4 linked regions of the Saccharomyces cerevisiae S288C genome follow. The protein of the gene in region 2 interacts with the protein of the main gene of each other region in a biochemical or structural test. Each region holds a gene or a part of one and is shown on either strand. Other genes may lie near its edges.

What was found.
Region 1: the proteins of INO2 (region 2) and INO4 form a complex in vitro, tested with the Saccharomyces cerevisiae proteins (4 studies listed by BioGRID, with this or other methods).
Region 3: the proteins of INO2 (region 2) and SWI1 form a complex in vitro, tested with the Saccharomyces cerevisiae proteins (2 studies listed by BioGRID).
Region 4: the proteins of INO2 (region 2) and TAF4 form a complex in vitro, tested with the Saccharomyces cerevisiae proteins (2 studies listed by BioGRID).

The regions. Positions count from the first base shown.
Region 1 is NC_001147.6:109,834-114,316, reverse strand, and holds INO4 (Ino4p), read left to right. Parts: upstream 1-2,430; coding exon 2,431-2,886; downstream 2,887-4,483. Other genes in the region: WSC3 (Wsc3p), read left to right, coding at 1-179; YOL107W (uncharacterized protein), read right to left, coding at 1,187-2,215; ZEO1 (Zeo1p), read right to left, coding at 3,679-4,020; SHR5 (Shr5p), read right to left, coding at 4,428-4,483. UniProt on the Saccharomyces cerevisiae protein: Transcriptional activator of phospholipid synthetic genes (such as INO1, CHO1/PSS, CHO2/PEM1, OPI3/PEM2, etc.).
Region 2 is NC_001136.10:697,251-702,352, forward strand, and holds INO2 (Ino2p), read right to left. Parts: upstream 2,219-5,102; coding exon 1,304-2,218; downstream 1-1,303. Other genes in the region: serine/threonine protein kinase KIN1, read left to right, coding at 1-644; YDR124W (uncharacterized protein), read left to right, coding at 3,065-4,039; ECM18 (alpha/beta hydrolase family protein), read right to left, coding at 4,147-5,102. UniProt on the Saccharomyces cerevisiae protein: Positive regulatory factor required for depression of the coregulated phospholipid biosynthetic enzymes. Also involved in the expression of ITR1.
Region 3 is NC_001148.4:518,444-526,742, reverse strand, and holds SWI1 (Swi1p), read right to left. Parts: upstream 5,730-8,299; coding exon 1,785-5,729; downstream 1-1,784. Other genes in the region: histone deacetylase HST2, read left to right, coding at 1-933; IRC15 (Irc15p), read left to right, coding at 6,510-8,009; CTF19 (Ctf19p), read right to left, coding at 7,983-8,299. UniProt on the Saccharomyces cerevisiae protein: Involved in transcriptional activation. Component of the SWI/SNF complex, an ATP-dependent chromatin remodeling complex, which is required for the positive and negative regulation of gene expression of a large number of genes.
Region 4 is NC_001145.3:272,940-278,383, reverse strand, and holds TAF4 (Taf4p), read right to left. Parts: upstream 2,340-5,444; coding exon 1,173-2,339; downstream 1-1,172. Other genes in the region: PLB2 (lysophospholipase), read left to right, coding at 1-823; MVP1 (Mvp1p), read right to left, coding at 2,832-4,367; AIM34 (Aim34p), read right to left, coding at 4,670-5,266. UniProt on the Saccharomyces cerevisiae protein: Functions as a component of the DNA-binding general transcription factor complex TFIID. Binding of TFIID to a promoter (with or without TATA element) is the initial step in pre-initiation complex (PIC) formation.

The sequences.
Region 1 (4,483 bases), on a different chromosome or scaffold from region 2:
AGAAACAGAACCTTCCATCGACAGTTTTTGAAGAGGCAAATACTTTGAATAGTGCAAATGAAAGGTTCAGTGCCAATTCTTTACCCGACATGATGATGAGCGGACCATTGCAAGTGGTAAACCCTGATAATCCTGATAATCCTGAATTATCTAGTACCGTATCTCATAATCGAGCCTGAAAAACTCGCATAAACTCTCAACATTAATGGTAATCAACTGGTTCTGCTGGACGGAGCCATTCTAAATCATTAACTTTATAATATCATGTTTTATACCCTAATATTTAAACAATTTACTGCTTTTGGCACTTCAACTGTTAGAAAAAGAACAATAATATTTAGTATTTAGTTTCATTTTTAAATTTTCTGATTCACTTCATTTGCAGCTTCTAATGATGTTTGTGGTACAAAAATATAAACAATTTTAAAATATTAAAAAAAAATGCTTCCAATCGGATTTGAACCGATGATCTCCACATTACTAGTGTGGCGCCTTACCAACTTGGCCATAGAAGCTAAATCTCTGAAAGCTGCGCTCTTCAAAGGCGAACCAAGCAAGATAAATTAATATTATTATGTAAAACTATCGTTTTCCTTTTGTTGATTCCTATATCCCGGAGAAGAACTACTAATTATCAAATTATTCACCAAATGATCAAATTTAGCAGCGTAGTGAGTGCCACTATGTAGATGTTGGAATAAAAACCAACTATCGTCTATCAACTAGTAGTCATACTATCAATATATTATCATATACGGTGTTAGATAGTGACATAAGTTATTATAGAAGCTGTCACCGAAGTTAGAGGAAGCTGAAATGCAAGGATCGATAATGTAATAGGATAATGAAACATATGAAATGGAATGAGGAATAATCGTAATATTGGTACATAGAAATATAGATTCCATTATGGGGATTCCTATATCATCGAGGAGAACTTCTAGTACATTCTGTATACCTAATATTATAGCCTTTATCAACGATGGAATCCCAACAATTATTTCAAAATTCACCCATTTCTCAGTAGAATTATTAATATTGGGGAATATATGGGTTTCTATGGTTCGATAGTACTGGCGCACATTCAGCATACAAATCCTACTACCTTGGTAAAGACCGAAATGCCAACAGCCGTCATTAAATCACGATATAATAGAGCATATTTCAAGTTATATAGATCCATATATCAAGGGTTTACCATACGCTCTTCCAAAACTTGTAAAGCTAACTGTCTTCGTCTTTCTTCTACAGTCATAATTTTTTTGGCGCCTCTACTTTCTGCGATGGTGTTCCCAATATCTATATCAATATCATGAAAAGGTTTAATGACTTTAAATTTTACAACAACTACATTATAAATGAAATTGAAAATCGGCCTCAAAATCGGCTTAATTAGATCAGGAAAGAAGTAAATCAATTGAAAAGTATCAGATGCATCGCCGACCAATATTTCCTGACCACCTTGAGAATTAGTTGTTGGCAAAGAGGGACAATTCAAGGGTGCAAGTTTCTGGAAAAACCTCAAGTACGACCAACTGGCAAAAAAGGTAACCCAAATGGAGAACAATTGAGCAAAATGATGAAACCATATTATTTGGGTTACCGTCATTGTAAACATTACAAAAATGGGTAGTAATTTGAACCTAAAGTTTTTGGCCAAAAATTGAGGTGTCTTCAGATGGATTATAGTTGTTTCAGGCAATAACTGTCTATAAATGATAGGGAAACCGATTAAAATTGTGTAGTTCCCGTCTAAGGGAATATCCAGCCTTACCTTATTAGAGAAAAAAGATACTAACAAAGTCAGCATGATGATCAGAACGTTTGTAAGAGAACCTAAAACTATGATAAATTTGAACATTTCTTTGGAAGAGTTCCAATTGCGTTCAATGAAGGATCCACCAATGATCAAATTCAATAAGTTCACTACCACCTTCCAAGCTTTAGTGTCGATGAAGTTGGATAGAACTAATGAGGTGGGGTACCTCCAAATCTGCGAAGGTACCATTTGCAAAAGCGGCGAAGTAATCAAGTTGTAGTCCAAGTTAGGGTCTTCAAGAACTAGCTTGTTGTACAAGGATCTCCTTATACAGAAAAGGGTTGCAGTTAAGCATATATAAGTGACTGTAATAAATTTAGTAGCATCAGGAATCTTATTGATATTTAAAAATGAATCCGGGATATTCAATTCTAGGAACCTCGAACTATATTGCATTATAGTGAACAAATATCTTTGTTATAAATAGATTAGTCGTCTTCTTTTTCTTGGCTTGGTTTGTATGAGCTTGTTACGTATCAAACAAAATATTCACATGTTTTTCTCACCTTAAAGACAGAGGCGCGATTGCGTTTGCGAAATTCCAATGCCAACAAGATAAGCTTGACGAAGGAGTTAAGAGGGCGGCTTGAACTAAAAAGAGAAAAGCAATAATGACGAACGATATTAAGGAGATACAAACAATACAGCCGGGATTGTCCGAGATTAAGGAGATAAAGGGTGAACTGGCTAATGTGAAGAAAAGGAAACGCAGGTCTAAGAAGATTAATAAATTGACTGATGGTCAAATACGTATAAATCATGTTTCGTCTGAAAAAAAAAGGAGAGAATTGGAAAGAGCTATATTTGACGAACTGGTAGCAGTAGTACCTGACCTGCAACCCCAGGAAAGTCGGTCAGAACTAATCATATACCTGAAAAGCTTGAGTTACTTAAGTTGGTTGTATGAAAGGAATGAAAAGCTGAGAAAACAAATCATAGCTAAGCATGAGGCAAAAACCGGCAGCAGCAGCAGCAGCGATCCCGTACAAGAACAAAATGGAAACATTCGGGATTTAGTACCGAAGGAGTTAATTTGGGAGCTGGGTGATGGACAGAGTGGTCAGTGATTCAAGGAGTAGGGTAAAGTAAGTAATATAAGCGAAGAAATTCTTCCCATACCTTTTCTTCACTTTGCAGAGGGGAGTGGTGCATATCCCACAAAGAAAAGTAGCAACAACAATGATATATATACGTTACTACTAATGCTTTCCTTCATCGAAAGTGTGCCGAAGTATTTATTTAATCTTTTAGTGTTCAACTTACTATAATGTGATACTTTTTCAATATTGTTTGCCGTTGAAGCGATAGTGCTTTATGTCATTTTATCTTTCTTTTACATTGTTTTATTTTAGAGCTAAAATTGAACATCAGTTTGCAAGAAGTCAGTTGGTTGGCCTTTGCTATTAAGAGACCATAATGTTATAGTGATTGAGATCAGTTTCACCAACTAATAACAATTAACCCGGGCGGTTAGTGTAGTGGTTATCATCCCACCCTTCCAAGGTGGGGACACGGGTTCGATTCTCGTACCGCTCATATTTTTACTTTCTTATCAAACTTTTTTTCCTCCGGGACGTGAAATAACCGCCGAGGTTATTCTCGGAGCATTCTTTTTTGTGGCTTTTGATCATCCATCATCATCATCATCATCATTATTACTACTACTACTACTACTACTATTATTATTATTATTATTATTATTATTAGTATTATTATTATTATATTGATTAGTTATTAGATAGATACAATTAAGAAAAATTTATGTAAAAGGTCAGAATAAACAGCATTTTTCTCCTCTTTTTTTATTTTTAAAAAAAGAAAAAGAAACTTCTAGTAAAGTGCAGCACATTCAAGTGTGATTAGTTGAAAATGGAAGCAATTTTACGGTTCAATTTCTTCAAGAAACCGCCTTCCTTCTTGGTTTCCTTCTTCTCACTGACGGCGGCGGAAGCTTGCTTCTTAGTTTCTTCAACTTTGTTGGCAGCTTCGGTCTTCTTTTGTTCGACACCATCAGCAATGTTTTGTTCTTCCTTCTTCACCTGTTCAGCTTCTGGAGTAGCTTCATTTTTTAGGTTGTCGATAGAAGCTTCAGCTTGTTCCTTTACTTCTTGGCCCTTGTTTTGCAAAGATTCTTTGGTTTCTTCCAACTTTTGTTGGACATCTTGGGCGGCAGTTTCAGCTTTGTTTTGAATTTCAGACATTATTAATTGATATAAACGTAGTTTTGTATGTTTCTTTGATTTGAACTTTTAAGTATACAGAGAAAAAAACCGATCAAAGAAAACTAAAGTATAATGAGGTTAAAAACGAAAGTAATAAAGTAGAAAGGCTATCAAGCAAACTGAGATGATCTTCGACGTAAAAACTCGCTCTATATATATACGCCATATAAGCCCATCGGCGATGGGGGACAACACGAAGAAACAAGAGAAGAGGAGAACCGCACAGAAAGCAGCAGAAACAGAGCAAACCAGCATTAACTAAAGATGATAAAAATAAAATTAGGTAAGAAACCTTAATTGGATATACAAAAATACACTGGAGGCACAAATCGCCATCGATATAAAACACGATAAAGCCCTGGTGCACCCATAAACCACACGTTTAACTATTTGGGTCGGGGCACGACGAAATCTAGGGATAGGCACCCGGACCGTCGGGGCA
Region 2 (5,102 bases):
ACGCACACATAAACTCGCCATCTGTGGAGAAGGAATTAACAGATGAAGAGATATTGCAGGAAGCTTCTAGAGCTCCAGCCGGTTCTATGCCATCCATCGATTTCCCCCGTTCTTTATTTTTGAAGGGTTTCTTTTCTGTTCAGACAACTTCATCGAAGCCTTTGCCAATTGTTAGATACAAGATTATGTTTGTTCTGAGGAAAATGAATATAGAGTTCAAGGAGGTTAAGGGTGGTTTTGTTTGTATGCAAAGGTTCTCTTCCAATAATGTGGCAGCGAAGAGAGAAGGGACTCCAAGATCGATCATGCCACTTTCGCACCACGAATCCATTAGACGTCAAGGCTCTAATAAATACTCACCTTCTTCTCCTTTGACAACTAATTCCATTCACCAGAGAAAAACATCTATTACCGAAACCTATGGAGATGATAAGCATTCGGGAACATCTTTGGAGAACATCCACCAACAAGGTGACGGTAGCGAAGGCATGACTACAACAGAAAAAGAGCCCATCAAATTCGAAATTCATATCGTCAAGGTTCGTATTGTTGGTTTAGCCGGTGTGCATTTTAAGAAAATTTCTGGGAACACTTGGTTGTATAAAGAGCTGGCTTCTAGTATATTAAAAGAACTAAAGTTGTAAGTAACACGTTCCCTGAGAAACCACAGCTTACATTTTTGATATTCGAAAACAAGAATATCCGTTCGATAGAAATTTATATATATATATAGATTCTTTTTATTCTCTTTTGGAAAGAAGAAATAGAATGGACCTAAGCAGACACTCAGCAGTTAATATTTTCGTCCCTTAATTGGTATTATTTATAAATAAATGGCACGTACTTTATGTGTAAAGCAGTTCATCATCGATTGATGGAGAGAATTTGTATACGTAGAGCGATCATTGCACCGTTTACCAGGACAGGATTCATATGGATGTAATAGGACTATTACTTCACTGAATCAATACAACTCGTAACGGTCATATAACTGCGAGTTTGTACGCAGTTATTCTGTTTGTGAAGACAGATTATACTTCGCCGTTGAAAGATTTCTTTACTTCACCATCATTGCCTCCGGATTCTCTTAACTTCTAAATAAAATGAAGATACTGGTAATTCTTGTCCGCAAAAATCTACGCTACACTCTGGAAAGAAACGAGATTTTCTACCGTCTGGTTTATAATGAATATATTTACATGACCAGCTTTGCAATCATATGATATTTTCGCCCATGTATACGAAATTAACTAAAAATACATCCAACGGGAGGCCATTTTCATCACTAATAGCTTGTATGAGCTCAGGAATCATCCAGTATGTGCTGTAGTGCTTCATTTGCGCTTCTAATGGACTTGATATCGTTCATTACACAAGTTAAAAGAATATGCTTGGGAATTCTTTTCCCGTTTTCCTTCGGTGGGGTCCTTACTGATTTAATGAGCCTTTCAAAGGCTTCTTTGGTGTTTATTCTTCGTATCTTCTCCATTTGAACGTGTTTCCATTTCCGTACCTTCACAGGGTCGTCCTCGATATTGGCTGGAATATCAGAGTCTGGGATTCGTATCTCAGGTACTGAAAACGGTGGCGGGTTGTAGTGGTCATTGCCGATAGGCTGATGAGGTCCTTCCCTCGTGGTGAACTCAGTTGGCACATCTGCTGTGTTTGTGGGTAACTCCCCTGTGTTACTGTGTGGATGTGTTTCAGGATATCTTTGATTTAATTCGGTATACCTATGCTGCTTTTTTGGTGATCTTATATGTAGATGTGATTCGGAGTTCATGGAAGCGTTGGAAGACATCATATCCTGTGATATTAGATTGTCTAAAAACTGTTCAATGGCATTCGATTCATTCGTGCTCAACAACCCCGAACTGGAAGGAGACAACTTGAGACCAAGCGCTTGATCAAAACCCATGCTTGGTTGATGAGGGTTGTGATTTAGATAGTGTGCATGAGTATGCAAAGGAGCATGATGAGTTTGGTTATCGGCAGGTATAGTTTCTACGTGAGAGGGTTGCACGGTTGCTACGTTAGGAATTATGCCGAGCTCGTGTGTTAACAGAGGAGGGGAAGTTGCACTAAACGTGTTTTCATGTATGTGCGCAGACATTTGGTCGTCGAAGTTACTGCTGAGCATTTGGTAAGCAGTTTCAAAGTCTATATCGTTATCCAGATCTAGGATACCCAGTAATTCGTTCCCAGTTGCTTGTTGCATTTTCTCCTTTGCTGTTCCATGTATTTATTTATTGCACGTCAACGAGATGGAACCGAACCAATTTCGAATTGCTTATGACGCCAAATACTGATTACAATAAGATATGATGAGATGAGCCTTTAATCACTGAAAAAAATTCACATGTGTGTTGTACTTGGACAGGTGTCAACGCCCTGCCGATGACGGAGGGAGATAGAAAACCGGCGAATTTTTTACCTCCTGCTGAAAAAAGGTTAGGTTGGTTCCATCTGCCGCACTATGGAGGGTGATTCAACGGAAAAGGCGCAGGAAGTGCAGTAGTGACCGGCAAGCAGCATGTTGAAAGACATTGTTGGGAAATCCTGTTTGAGTCCTGGTGTGTCTTCATTCTCCTACCATTTGTAGCTGGCGTAGATTTGGTTTGAGTGTGGTTGGTTAATTCATATTAAGCGTTGAGATTATAATAATAGAAATAATGGAAGAGGCACTCGATCCATATTATCAAGGATTCAAAGTAACTCAGATCTGCAGTAAAGGAGAGATGCGACTGAGAACAAATTCCTTTGCAATGGCATCGGCAATGGCACAATATGGAACTTTTTCTTGTACTGTTGAAAAACAGCACGCTGCAGTTGCATCAGGGTTGTTTTAAGTTGTTGTAGTAATCTCGCGACCTGAGACATCCTTGAAGCGGTGCCTGCGAAGTCTTAGTGAAGAGTTTAAGATTAGAAGTATATAGCATCGAAGGGATGGCCCAACTGAAGCAGGTTCCTCTGCTTGTTTCTCAGCTTATATAAAGGATGGATTGCGTATGTATACATGTGCATTTGTGCGTACGTCATTTTTCGATAGAGTCAGCTTAAGTACATGCGTATAGGTATGGAAGAGCTTAGAAGGGCGCTGGCGCTGCTAAATGGTCAAGGATATGAGTTTATGGTGTTCATAAAGGAAAAAGACCATTTAATAAGTGAGTCAATTCCAAAAAACTTGTTCTCAGAGAGTTTTATATCATCTTCAATTGAAAAAAACCCTCCACTCACGTTCGATCCATTGGTAAATAGGAAAAGAATAACTGTTTATGAAGAAAATATCCAACCAGCGATCATGCTACCCTTAGATCAACCCCTACTAATACAGAATTATCTGTATACGGCTTTTAAATTATTAAGACAGGTCCCATGCAAGGCGATTGCTAAGTTGTGGATAAAAATTATTGAGCCAAGGAAGAAAACCAGGTTTCCATACATTAAAGGCAATGCTGGAAGGCCGGAATGGTGGCCAAAAGATGTAGAACATAAAGAGCCGGACCACCTCCAGAAAGCGGATCGACTGAAATTGATGTGCACGATAATTATGAATGTTCTACCGCAATCTCCCTTCAGCCTTGAGATTTTGGACGAGCTTACAGGAGTGACCGCCGCAATGACCATTTTTAAGAAAGAAACTGTGAAGAAAGTAATCATGAAAAATGTTTTCGAAATTGCGAAATGCTTGTGCAACAAAGATTTCAAGCAGAAGACCATATCACTTGATGATTTAAATGACCTAGCCCAAAAACAGAAAAAATCATACCATAGTCGTCGATTTGATGTAAATAAAATGGTTAAGGTAGAAAAAGATTTGTTACAACAGTCAAGTGGAAGCGATTCTTCACCCTCGATGATCCTTCCTTCAAAAGAAAGTGACACAGAGTATTTCCCCAGGGAATATCCGAAAGACCCTGTATCGGAGGATTATTCGAATAGCATATCTCGATTAGAAAATTTAGTGGAATTTGATCCGTTATTCCTCACTAAATTGGATGAATTAACTAGTAGCGATGATTGTAAAGATTTTATTTGAGAAAAATTTCAAAGCAAAGAAAAGAGGTGTGAGGAGCGCAAAAGCAAAAAGGGGGATAGCATACATTAACACATTTTTTGGCTCTTTGCTACTTGATTTGGTTGCTATCAAGGCGATTTAGTTTCGTCTGATAAGAAGGACACTATAGATTGGTTGAATGATTCTGGGTTATCTAAAAAAAGATTGTGACCGGAAGAAGGTATTTCTAAATAACTTGCTCCTTCTAGACAGTTCTTTAAATTGTTCAACTCTTTGACCATGAACATACCGGCTTTTTTATTCATCCAATCATATTGCCCATATACTATCAATAATTTCTTAACATTTAAATATTGCAGAGAATCCATCAAGGGGTCCTTTGCTAGGATACATCTTGAAAATAACGCTTTGAAAATATCTGTCGTAACCTCCGGTATACCTCCCTTACCGTAAAACAGTTCAAATATGTACTCTTTGTATGCCAACGATGGGACTCGGCTATATGCCGCCATTATGTAATTCCAACATAACTTAGCTCCTAATGGTCCCATCATTCTCAAAATGTGAAATTGTTGTTCAAATAAGTATTTTGGAATCATATTTCTTTTGGAGTAAAACTTGGAATTTGGATTTTTAAAATCGATAGTATAAAGAGTGTTGGAGTGGAAATTATTATTTACAGACCAGATATTCCTTTCCACTCCTAGTGGGGATACCAAGCAAAGTTTGTTTACCGAGTTTGGATATTTAACAGCATATTTAAAAGATAAATATCCGCCAAAAGAATGCCCCACAACATTCATTTTGCCCAATTTGTTATCAATGCGCCATTGCTCGATTCTGTCGAGATAGAAATCTTCGTACATTTGAATCACAAATTTATTGTGATTTGCATTTATTGTATATGGAACCTTAAATTTATTTTCTCCAATAAATTTGATATCTAACGGCAGAGGTGTTGTTGTATTGATCTCTAAAGACGGTACTGAAGACAATCCGCTCGCTGGCATGTCAATTGAGTATAAATTTCGGATGTGCTTGGACAGACCTGGATAATTTCTGAAAAAAGACATTGAAGATGCGG
Region 3 (8,299 bases), on a different chromosome or scaffold from region 2:
GGAACTGGCCTGTACCATAACTTGGCCAGGTTGAAGTTGCCGTACCCTGAAGCAGTGTTCGATGTCGATTTTTTCCAATCGGATCCTTTGCCATTTTACACTTTGGCTAAAGAGTTGTATCCCGGAAATTTCAGACCTTCTAAGTTTCACTATCTTTTGAAATTGTTTCAAGACAAAGACGTTTTGAAGAGAGTATATACCCAGAATATAGACACTTTAGAAAGACAGGCCGGTGTTAAGGATGATCTGATCATCGAGGCCCATGGCAGTTTTGCTCACTGTCATTGTATCGGATGTGGTAAAGTTTATCCCCCACAGGTTTTCAAATCCAAGCTGGCAGAGCATCCTATAAAGGATTTTGTCAAGTGTGATGTGTGCGGTGAACTGGTAAAGCCGGCAATAGTTTTTTTTGGCGAAGATCTACCGGATTCCTTTTCGGAAACTTGGTTAAACGATTCAGAGTGGCTTCGTGAAAAAATCACGACATCTGGAAAACATCCTCAGCAGCCTCTTGTCATCGTCGTTGGCACCTCACTAGCCGTTTATCCCTTTGCGTCTCTGCCCGAAGAAATTCCTCGAAAGGTAAAAAGAGTTCTGTGCAATTTGGAAACGGTGGGCGATTTTAAAGCTAACAAGAGGCCTACAGATTTAATAGTTCATCAGTACTCGGATGAGTTTGCCGAGCAACTCGTTGAAGAATTAGGTTGGCAAGAAGATTTCGAAAAGATACTTACGGCCCAAGGTGGAATGGGGGATAACTCTAAAGAGCAATTACTTGAAATTGTACATGATTTAGAGAATTTGAGTTTGGATCAATCTGAACATGAGAGTGCAGACAAGAAGGATAAGAAGCTACAGCGTCTCAATGGCCATGACAGCGATGAAGATGGAGCAAGCAACTCCTCTTCTTCACAAAAAGCCGCTAAAGAATAATGTGTTGGTTGCAATGTTTTCCGTCCCCCTTTTTTTTTCCTTATTCATCTAGCATGCGCGGCAATTTGATAGTTTAAAAATAAAAGAGACGCGTAATTGAGCTTGGCTTTCCTACGCGTTTGACATTGCATACATATTCTTTCCCCCCACCCCCTTATAGATATCGAAAAATTTGTAAGCTCTGACGTGCAATTCTACTTTAGCCAATTAGGTTTGATAAAAAATACGGCGCCAGCTGACTTTTTTCTCTTTCTGGATAAGTACTCAGAATATATAGATAAGTAGAATGGGTTCCCGAACCGTCAATGCAGCCAATTCATCTCAATACTGCGCCGAACAGCTTCTGAAGCGATCTTGACTTTGTGGGCAGCTTGAAATTTTCTTGGATGATTCTGTCCTATTTGAGCTTTACCTCCTCCCATCGAAAGGGCGAAGTCACACCGTTTTCAAAGGTGGAGTGTTACCCCACCCCCCACGCTGACTCCACATCTGACTCTCTACCGTTTTATTATAGCGAACGTTAACTCTGAATGTATGTGTGGTGTGTATGAATTGTATTTACTGCCTGAAATGGAGTCATAAACTCCTTTATACAATTTCAAGGAATTTTTGTAGCCGCGACGGGACCAGTGGGAAGTTACTAAAACCATTGTTTAGTTGAGCCGCCCAAGATGTGACTTCATGGCAGCTATACGTTCATTTGGGCTTTTGGCACTAAAGGCGCTCTTCCGACTGTATTGTTTCCATAAGGTCTATTATATTAGTTACAACATTTTATATAGGTTTATAAAAAGAAAATAGTGCGCAAGGAAGAAATAAGCAGTAAAAGAATATTGTTTAAAAAAATCGCATCATTCCAAATTGGTTAGGATATCATTTTTTAAATTGTAAAGTAATTGATACTGGTTTATTATTTGAATATCAACTGATGGATTAGTGAATAACTGGAAAATTTCTAAATCCGTGGGGAACAAATTTGGAATCGATGCTATTTTTTTTAATATTTCCGGGTCGTTGTTTAGGCAGTTTTCAAAACAAATACTTTTTTCAACCAAACATTTGATTAACTGAACACAGGATATGTTAATTGACGGTAGGAGCACCTTTGAATAATTTTGTTGCTGTAACAAAGTATTCTTACTTGTGGAATTGTTAATATTCAATATTATCTCACTTAACTTCAATAGTCCAGATCCAATATTTTCTTCAGAGCTCAACCACACAAATGGTAAATTCTTGTTGAAATTGAAGCTAGAATCTTTGTTGCCGTTATTGTTACTGTTACTGTCTGAATTATTCTCACTGATTTCAAATACTTCATTGGATAACGGCAATATTTTTTGTACAATGACTAAGATGCTAGTTAGACTCTGAGAAATTACCGGAGAAAATTGGTCGATCAGCAAACTTGGATCAGCTGATTGCGATAACACTTGCTGCAGCGGTATGGCAGAAAATAAAAACGAAACCACATCATTTAGCAAGTTGTGCCTATTGTTATTATTTTTATTGTTATCATTGTATAAATTCAAAAGTCTTCGTAACAACTTTTTGTCCTTGTGGTTGTTGTTACTGTTGCGATCATAGAGGTTGTTACCTGTGTTTTTGTTCAGAAGGATTGATTTGAAATAATTTAGGTTCGGTTTTTCCAATGAAAATAATTTGGCCAAAATATCTACACCGAAAGTTTGATATTTTCCCCATTGCAACTGGAATTCGTTGAAGGTCAAAGATTCAGAGCCAAATGATGACGAAGACGCCATTGGATTGAGTTTTGGTTGACCAAAACTTATGACTAGAATAAGAATTAACAAGCAATCAATGGACGAAGCGATCTCTAATAAATGAGAAATATTTGATAAAACAATAACCAAATCCTTCTTGAAATTTAGTATTTTCCTATTGCATGTAAAGTTTTCTGGATGGATTAAGACTAACCAAAGTAGATCAGATATAAATCTCTTTAGGTAAAAATTTCTCGACATGATTCTGGAGTTGTTATCGGAGAATGAAATATTCCTCAAAATCATCGAGATGGTAGACAGTTGATCGTTAATCAGAACTTTGGGATCCTCTGCCCCTCTGGTATTTATTTTTGTAAATGGATCATCAATTTCATCCTTGATTTTTTTCAAAGAAGTCAAATAAGGAGTTCTGTGAATTTTCAAAGGAAATTGGTTAGGGAGGAATCTTATTGGTTCAGGCAATAAGTCCCACTGTTTAACTGCGGGAGATGTCGACTGCATACTTATAAAACATTCAGTGTCGAGATCAGGCTCCATTTCAGTAGGAGTAGGGGTGGGCAATTGATTACCTGTTAAAGAATCTACCAGGATAGTGACTTTTTCATCGTTAGAATCATTCGGTGTAAGTGTAGCGTTGTTGTTTACCTTTTCAAAAATTTTATCAACCATTTTATCGTGTTGGGTAACATAGTATTGATTTGATCCAGCATCCTCATAATAATAGTCAGAAGTGTTTCGATGGTATGGAACAACATTTTGTGACAAATTTGACAGTAAATTCATGCCGAGTATTGCCAAGGAGTCTAATAATTCAGGGTATTTGACCAGAGATATTTTTAAGTTCGAGTCAGCGCTTGTGACCAACAAGGTGTTCAAGGCGGTGTTTATTTCTCCAAGATTCTTCGATTGGAGGGACATTGATAAAGCATGTAAATTAATTGCACCTAACTCTGGCGCGAAGAGAAAAATTGGCTTGTTGGAATCTATTTTCTCTCCTATTTTAGAGATGTAATTGATATCGTAACCATTGTAATGCTTGAGGCGGTTGATTAGGGGTTTGTAGTTCCTAACAATTGATCTCTTGTAGACTTTAGGCAATTTTTTTAGTTCGATTTCATATTGTTGACGTAATTTTGTCTCTAATAGCAATTTCTGTTGCCTTTGTTGATCCTCTAAAAGTTTTTGTTGTCGTTTCTGAAAATCCTCCCTTTCTTTACGTTCTAGTTCCAATTCCTTTTTGGTCTTTTTTTTCACTCTTTGCTTTCTTGGCTTCTTAACTTGCTGTTGGCCAATATTGTTATTATTTACGTTGATATTAATATTGCTATTCAAGCTTTTTGGAGTGTTTGCTGAAACCGGAACGATCCCTGCTTCTGTTCCTGGTGCTGCTGTAGCAGGAACGGACGCGCCAGGAGCCGCGGGGGTTGGTGCTGACGATGCACTATTAATGTTATTGTTGGCATTGGCCAATGCAGCGGCCTGCTGCTGTTGTTGAACTTTCTTCAATAGTTCTTGTAAGAACTGTTGCAAGAATATTCTTTTCGCTTGAGTTTCCTTTATACCTTCTTGGGAAATCATGTGTCTTTCGTAAGGTAATAAAATTCTAAAATAGATTGATTCTAATTGTTGGTAATCGGAAATTTGCAGCCTTTGGGCCACCATAGACCACTGTTGGGTCCTTGTTACTTGATCTGCACCACCGAATTTTTGAACCAACATATAAAGATAAAAAAGATTTATTTTTCTGTTGCCGATTTCTGGTATTGATTGTAACGGCATATTTCTTTTTTTACAGTTTTCAATCAAAGATTTCATAAAAAGTTCATATTGTTTGTTATTCAATTCAGTAGATATTTTCTCTTGTAATGCCGGGTTCAGACTTTGTAAAATAGATCTTTGTTGTTGCTGCCGTTGACTCTGCAAAAATTTGGGATTCTGTTGTTGCTGTTGTTGCTGTTGTGGTTGTTGATTTTGCTGTTGTTGATTTTGTTGCTGCTGCTGCTGCTGCTGTAGAGCCTGAAAACGTTGCTGCTGCTTTTGCTGCAAAGCGGCAAACATTGCAGCTCTTTCAGAGAACACTGTATTTGCGTTTGAAGTTGAATTATTGGTATTAGCGGGAGTTGCAGCAGGCACGGCAGTGACATTATTGTTATTGCTCGTTTTATTATTGCTGTTATTACGCATATTATGGTTATTACTGTTGTTGTTGTTGTCACTTGTGTTCGGAACAAATTCATTGCTTGCAGAGGATGATCTGTCCATTGAATTTGAAGCAGCGTAATTAGAAATAAGCTGGTTAGACGTCAAATTACCATTATTGGAAGCACTGTTATTGAATGGCAAAAATTGTTGATTTGCATTCGGAGTAGAGTTAGAGTTTGTGTTCGGAGTAGAAGATGAGGAATTTTGACTGATGGATTGAACATTGGTGATAAAATGGGGTGTTATTACATTATCGTTCGCAATTCCGGTGCTATTATTATTATTGTTACCGCCATATAGCTGTTGTTGAGCTTGAAGAGGTAAATTGGAAGAATCAATGATTGAATTCTTGGCTAAAATAGCCTGAGGAGACAGGCTGTTTAAATTTGTGTTGGAATTGTTTGAGTCATATGGAGAATTGAATTGGGGAGACTGGTTCTGAATGAAATTAGCAGCTTTTCCACCGGTAACATTAGCAGGAGCGGCATTATTAACGACTGCTGTTGGAGAAGTAAAGTTCGTGCTGGAGGCTACCGTGTTACTGTTATTGTTATCATTGTTATTACTATTACTGTTGTTATTGTTGGAATCCAAATTCTGGTCAAAAGGTTTTGGGTCGAAAAAATTCTGAAAATCGTCTACACCACTGGCTCCGGTATTCGTATTGTTGTTATTAGTATTGTTATTAGTATTACTACTATGGCCTGTGCTATTGTTGTTATTGGTATTATTAGCAGGATTATTATTATTATTAGTATTATTATTATTAGTATTATTGTTATTGGTAGTAGTAGTAGTAGTAGTAGTATTATTATTATTATTATTATTATTCAAATTAAAGAAATCCATCTTTATTTATTACTATTTTTATTATTACTATTTTTATTATTATTATTATTATTATTATTATAAGACACGAAAAGAAAGAAAATAGAGATAGAAAAAGAAAATTTTAAGAATAATGAGTGTAATAGGAAAATAGCCGCCAGTCAGTGATTATTACCTGGTGAACAATAATCTGCAATCCGTGAGAGGAAACAACGCGAAATGCCAAAGCAGAGATGGTGTAATAAGGATAGAGCCACACAACAATACTTTCTAGAAAAATAAATAATAAAAAAATAAGGTAAACAAAGTGTAATCAGTTGCCTTGCCGTATAGTGTTTTGCGGTATAAATATTGTTATTCAATACGAATGATGAATACCGGAAGGTGGTTATGACTAAAACGCAATGTGAATATGATTACAACTGGCAACAACCACAACAGAAACAACAATAATGCATAGTGGTAATAATACGTAAAGTCAATCAGCGTTCAGTTTTAAAAAAAATCTTTTCTCGGTGCTTTGGGGAAGGAGGGGTGGCGTCGTTTCGTAATCGGAGATACCCAAAGTTCATATCACGATAAACGTCAGTTCCGGGTTAGAATAAATTTATGCGGTAGTTTCTGTGCGAACTTGAGTGCGGTGGCATTTTCCTCCGGCGAGGCCTGGGTGGAACACTCAGGCAGGGGGTACACCCAGACCTGCAGGCATGCATCTGCTGTTTCGGCGGCTATTTAACATGCGCACGATTTTACGAGAGGAGAAGAGAAGTATGATATAATTAACGGTGAGCATTTTTGGTAATGGGAGGTGAAGACGAAATATTAAGCACGATGGAGGATTTTGCGGCAGTTTACGATGTCCTGGTAATTGGTTGCGGGCCTGGTGGCTTTACTGCAGCGATGCAGGCTTCGCAAGCAGGCCTGCTCACAGCATGTGTTGACCAGCGTGCCTCGCTGGGGGGCGCCTACCTTGTAGACGGGGCAGTCCCGTCCAAGACCTTGTTATATGAGTCTTATCTTTATCGGCTGCTACAACAGCAAGAACTTATCGAGCAACGTGGCACGCGGCTGTTTCCTGCAAAATTCGATATGCAGGCGGCCCAGAGTGCACTCAAACATAATATAGAAGAGTTGGGCAATGTGTATAAACGTGAGCTATCTAAAAATAATGTTACTGTGTATAAAGGCACGGCTGCTTTCAAAGATCCTCACCACGTTGAGATTGCGCAGCGCGGCATGAAACCGTTCATCGTAGAGGCGAAATATATTGTTGTGGCGACCGGATCTGCGGTTATTCAGTGTCCTGGTGTTGCAATAGATAATGACAAGATAATTTCATCTGATAAGGCATTGTCACTGGATTATATACCTTCACGTTTTACTATCATGGGAGGAGGTACAATTGGACTAGAAATCGCATGCATATTCAATAATTTGGGCTCTCGGGTTACTATCGTTGAATCTCAAAGCGAGATCTGTCAAAATATGGACAATGAGTTGGCTTCTGCCACGAAGACCCTCTTGCAGTGTCAGGGTATAGCTTTTCTTTTAGACACTAGAGTGCAGCTCGCGGAAGCCGATGCTGCCGGTCAGCTGAACATCACCTTGCTTAACAAGGTGTCAAAGAAAACATATGTACATCATTGCGACGTCTTGATGGTTTCTATTGGTAGACGTCCCCTGCTAAAAGGTTTAGATATTTCCAGCATTGGTCTAGACGAACGGGATTTTGTAGAAAATGTTGACGTACAAACCCAAAGTCTGCTAAAGTACCCTCATATTAAACCCATAGGAGACGTTACATTGGGCCCCATGCTGGCGCTGAAAGCGGAAGAACAAGCTATAAGGGCCATTCAATCAATAGGCTGTACAGGCTCCGACGGAACCTCGAATTGTGGCTTCCCACCAAATGTGCTGTACTGTCAGCCTCAGATTGGCTGGGTCGGATACACTGAGGAGGGGTTGGCAAAGGCTCGCATCCCATATCAAAAAGGCAGGGTTTTGTTCTCACAGAACGTTAGATATAACACGTTATTACCACGGGAAGAGAATACTACAGTTTCTCCTTTCATTAAAGTTCTGATAGATTCTCGTGACATGAAAATACTAGGCGTTCATATGATAAACGACGATGCAAATGAATTGCTGTCGCAAGCATCGATGGCGGTGTCGCTTGGCCTTACCGCCCATGATGTCTGTAAAGTACCGTTCCCTCATCCGAGCTTATCGGAATCGTTTAAGCAAGCCGTCCAGTTGGCAATGGCAAATGGAACATCACCTGGCGTACATGTCCGGGAATAGGCAAACGTTGCAGATCTCCTTTAACCCGGTTTTCACACCATATTCCTTGATAAGTCCGTAGCATATCTCGTCCAAATCTATCTGGTTAAATCTTTCTCCCCCCTTCCATAGCGCTATTGAAATTTTACTCATGGGCAGAAAACAGTTACGAGGTTTGCCTCTCTCACCGGGCATTGTAATGATGAAATTTATCTGCAATTTTATCGTCGTGAGTCTTCCTTCTCTAATAACTCTTTCCACAATTAATGAGTCACTATTATTCATTAGATAACACCTGGTTTTCCTTTTCA
Region 4 (5,444 bases), on a different chromosome or scaffold from region 2:
ATCCGACAATACTGATGAATCATGGCCAAGTGGTGTGTGCATGACGAACACTTATGAGCGCCAGTATTCTAAGCAAGGTAAAGGAATGGCTTTCCCATATGTTCCAGACGTTAACACCTTCCTTAACTTGGGCTTAACTAATAAGCCAACGTTTTTTGGTTGTGATGCAAAAAATTTGACGGACTTGGAGTATATTCCACCTTTAGTTGTATATATCCCAAACACAAAACATTCATTCAATGGTAACCAAAGTACTTTGAAGATGAACTACAATGTTACAGAACGTCTTGGAATGATCAGAAATGGTTTTGAAGCTGCTACAATGGGCAACTTTACGGATGACTCTAACTTTTTAGGTTGCATAGGTTGTGCCATCATTAGACGTAAGCAAGAAAGCCTAAATGCCACCTTGCCCCCTGAATGTACCAAATGTTTTGCGGATTACTGCTGGAACGGCACACTAAGTACCTCAGCTAATCCTGAACTATCGGGAAATAGTACGTATCAAAGCGGTGCTATTGCCTCTGCAATCTCTGAGGCTACTGACGGTATTCCAATAACGGCTCTCTTAGGTTCATCAACCTCCGGAAATACTACATCAAACTCAACAACCTCGACTTCATCAAATGTCACTTCTAACTCAAACTCTTCGTCAAATACAACTTTAAACTCAAATTCTTCATCCTCTTCAATTTCTTCCTCTACAGCTCGTTCTTCTTCCTCTACGGCAAACAAAGCGAATGCTGCGGCTATTTCCTATGCGAACACTAATACTCTAATGAGTTTGTTAGGTGCCATAACAGCATTATTTGGACTAATTTAGAAGCCCTTCTGAGAAACAATACATAATACATCCTTTCACCCAAAAGGATAATGACAAGTAAATGTATAAAAATGTGTATTAATATGAAAATTTTTTTCCCGATTATCACTCCTCTTTCCGCTATTTTTGGTAGAAGGATGCCTAACTTCAAGGATTGATATATCTTCCTTATTATAAAGTTAAAATGAACAAAGCAAAAAGGTTGAATGGTCCTCAATAGCTTGGCGATGACTTGACTAAGCGACACCAACCGGCCTTCTTTATGTTAGTCAATCTTGTTTTTTTTATATCCTAGTTTATTTGAAACACTATACCTTTAAATATTATAGACAGTATAAGAGATGAGCAATTAATCTCTGATCTTGGCATAACCCTTTGAAATAATAGTCTGAACGCTGTTGCGCCTATTTTCGAGAGCAAAGAGTAAATCCCTCATTACTATACCAGGCTCCTCTCTAGCTTCTCTAAACTTTAGCCCACTTTCTCCTCTAGCCGTGATGTCGGAGGCGACTTTGCCTGAAGATTTTGCTCCCAAGGACGTCGGCTTATTTACTGATGAAGTTAGCCAACCATACTGTTTTTTACTACCTGCTCTAAGGCCAGCCGTAACGTTCGATGCTCTGTGTAACGTCTCTTCGGAATCAATCTTATTTTCATAATCTTCCTTCTCGAGTCCCAACGCAATTCTTTTTTTCACACGCCTTTCTTCTTCTTTTTTTTGAATTAGTGCAATGGCTCTTAAAGCCGCAGAAACTTCACTTCTTCTACCAGAATTTATCTTGACTGCTTTTCTTCTATGTCGGGAGATGACAATGGCATTTGTTAGGATATCTCTCATATAGTTTTCGCAGGCACTTGACATCATGTCCAAAATTTCAGGATTCTTTGTAGGGGTCAGGTTGAAGTTTTGCTCTTTTCCGACTTTCCTCATATAATTGGAAACTTGTTCCGGGTGAAGGAATGGTAAATGGTTGGGGATCTTAACGTTATTTGTTTGAACTTGGGATTTTGAGGCATTAATAGATGAATTTAGAAGAGCCTCCTCCTCCCTAACATCGATACCTGCGGAAAAAAGGACATCTTGCATTTTATTTGGGTCTGATTGTTGTTGTGCATTCTGTCCTGAGGAGTTGGATGCTTTGCCATCTTTAGAATCTGCTTTACTCGTACCCTTGTTTTTTTTTTTATCATCCTTTTTTGGTAGAGCTAGTCCAGCAGGGCTAGAGAACATATTGTTTGTATCTCCATTACTTTCAACTCTCAAATTAGTTGTGGGTGATACATTTTTAGGAAGAACAGAATCATCCGTATTACCTGCCGCATCATTGTGAGTTGAAGATACATGTGCGGTTGATTTTATCTGGCTAGGCGACGGAAGGCTATGTGATAGCTCACTAGCTTTACCTGGTGACAAATTAAATGCTGGTTTCGTTTCTGGGACGGTATGTTGATATTTAGGCGTGTCTGACGCTGATACTCCAGTGCCATCAGATGGCTTTTTCGGCGAATTTGCCATTATGTGATATGATGCCGAAAGACAATATGTGCACTACCAATCGATAAAAGCACTTTAGATTACGTGCAGGTGAGGTTATACAGAATGCTGATTAGAAAAACTTTCCCATTTGAGCTATTACACGGACCACATTCGACTTATCGATGTTCAGTTCATTCACTTTTTCAAATTAAGATCATTTATGACGAATATTGAATACTGGAGAATACACATTTTTAGCGGGCGTCGTTTGTCCGGCATATTATAAGGCTATCTAATCCAAATTATCGAAAGATTTGTTACCTTCTAATAAATATGGGAACCTATAATATCCGAATTAGGCTTCATACACTGTATTTAAAATTGAAAAACAAATAAATAACAATTTATAGTGGTACATATCTTTACTCTATTTACCTAATTATTTCTCTGTTTAGTACGTCAATTACATCTGTTGGATATCCTTCAATAATGTTTTGGCAGACTAAGTGGTTAGTCTTCACTCCGTAAAATTTATTCACGAGAAATCGGCATATCCATGATGCTTGTGACGAGCTTTTCCCACTCATTCAGTTTGAGACCGGCATGGTTGGAGTTCAATTTTGCCCAATCCTGGAAGGCACGTGTTATTAAAAATTGGGTTTCCTGAAAGATTGTAAACTCTTCCAAAATACATTGTCTTATCAACCAAGCTCTGTTTGATTGCTCTATTATGCTTCTTCTATCCTTCTGTATGATTTTTTTTATCCTGTCGTACTCTGCTCCACTGACATCTGGTTTTCCTTTCATCGATTCCAATTTCTCTTTGTTCAATTCGACATGTCTTTGCAATTCAACTACGTTATTTGCAGCCATAATTTTGTATCTCTCAAATAAACTTCTCAAAGAAAGTAAGATGTCCGTGAAAATTTTGAATTTTGGCGATAACGTTCCCGATATTTCTTCTGTTTCTTGTTTGCAGATACTACTCGTAGTTTCTAGGTGTTTTTTAATTATACTCAAATTGTTATTAATGTCCAATATGGTATCATTTTGTTGTACCGGATATAGTTTTGGAGTCACTTCGCTAAAGTTATCCACTAGTGTCTCAAAAAAATTTCTTTCGTGTACCATTTGCATAATTCTTTTTTCATGCCTTTCCAAGAGAAGCGTGATTCTATACCATAATTCCATCGAGGTATCGATACAAGATGCAGCCTGGTTCCATTGTTCTGCAAACTCTTTTTTCCACATTTTCATAAATTCTTGTGATATCTTTTTATCAGCGAATTCGTTTGAAGTGTCATAGGTTGCTTGCTTTCTCCAACTTGTTAAGTCAGTGCGTACGGTTAAAAATGTTAACACTAAATCATCATTACTTAATTTAGGGTGTTTCATTACCAAATTAATGAATCTAGATAACCCTATTCTTCTTTTCTTCAAAAAAAGCTGGTCTGCGTTTTGGGATCCAATTCTTTTGGGAGGTAGCTCAGGGATCATTCTAAAAGGGTATCTTTTCAGCAGAATTTCTCTTAACCATAAGAAATCAGAGTATCTTCTTACGACAGTACGTTCTTCAGAAGGCGAGGTACTTGGAAGAGCAATGAGATGTTTCACTAAATAGTTTGCGTGCTTGAAAAGTAAACCCTCTCTTTCAGGTATCTCTTCAATGATGATGATGTCGGCATCTAGAGGTCTGTATGTTTTTCTAACGTTGTTAGTCCAATCAAGTAAGTCGGCTTCAGATTCTTCTATATTCTGATCTCTAGCATCATTCTTATCTATAACTGTCTCATTGGCCGCTATATTGGGAGTTTGGCTCATGCCAGTTGCACCAAGAGGATTTCTACTATCATCCCAGATACTTTCTTCAAGCACATCGTTGGTCGGTAAAAAACCAGTATCCTCCTCATTTGTGTCCAGAGGTGTTGAAAAGTTCAAGGTGTTAAACTCACCAGAGATTCCGTTGAGGCTGGGTTCACTATTGGTGGTAGAAACGACGTGATCATCATCCTTAGTCCATGCATTAGAACTGGTATTCCAAGGATCACTGCCTTCGTAATTGTCCATTACTTTTTTTTTCGCCTCAGTGGTGTTTTATAGAATCCAAATTCGATTGCTTTTACTATTATTTCTCTTACAACTTGGGTGAAAAGAAGTGGCGTTCACCCTGTTTTCATTGTACCTTCCTTCCTCACTTTTTTTTCTGGCATGTGTTTCGTAAAAGCGCCTACCTTAACCGAAAATGACGGCAATATCGAGATGATCTGGATCAACAATAACTTATTGAGAGCGTAGAGAAAAGTAAAAGTGTCTTAATAAATTATGAAAGAATATACAGTTCAATTAATTACAGTGCTAGAATTATATTTCTAATGGTCAATGGTAGGTTTAGATTCCTGAGGTTCGAGGTTCCACCAAAGACACGATAACATGAAAAATCCTAATAAGAATATTCTATCCCTTGGTTGCAAGTGTGAATGAACGTCGCAGGGAGTTTCGATAACAGGTGTGTTCTGCAGTGAAGAAATATTTTTTTCAATAGTTCTAAAAGTTTTATCACTAACCAATTTCTTCGTGATTTTGATTGGATCATTTATTAATATCCTCTTTTTTTTGGGTTCATTTATCTTCACACTACTTTTTTTATTTGAACATGAATCGTGCGTGATAAGTCTTTGTAGCAAATCTGATTTGCGACCTGATAATTTTAACCCTCTTGATTTGCACTGCTCTTTGAGAACTTTAACTGTAAATTTTTGAAAAGGTGTTATATCGTTATTATTCATTAAAAAGCTCAAGTGGCTCTTCGTTTGGGTGCTATGTACATATCTGTGTAGGCTCACCTTGTAAGCACCGGGCTGTTTCAATAGTAAGGTAAACGGTAAATATAGAGATCTCCCTGGCTCAGCCGCCCGTATGCCGGAGAATTGTTGTGAAACAATTCTACCTAATAGAGAAATTGACATGTCTTCTTTCAGAAGCTTTACTTTGCCGGTTCAGCTGCACTAGGTGTCTTTTTGAGAAACATGCGTATCACAGGCCCTTCTGAAGAAGAGCATAAAATATAGTAAATAAACAAACTCTTCGAAGGTACTACGTTACCCTCCCCTGTTGAGAACTTCATAGGAAATGTCAGCCACACCG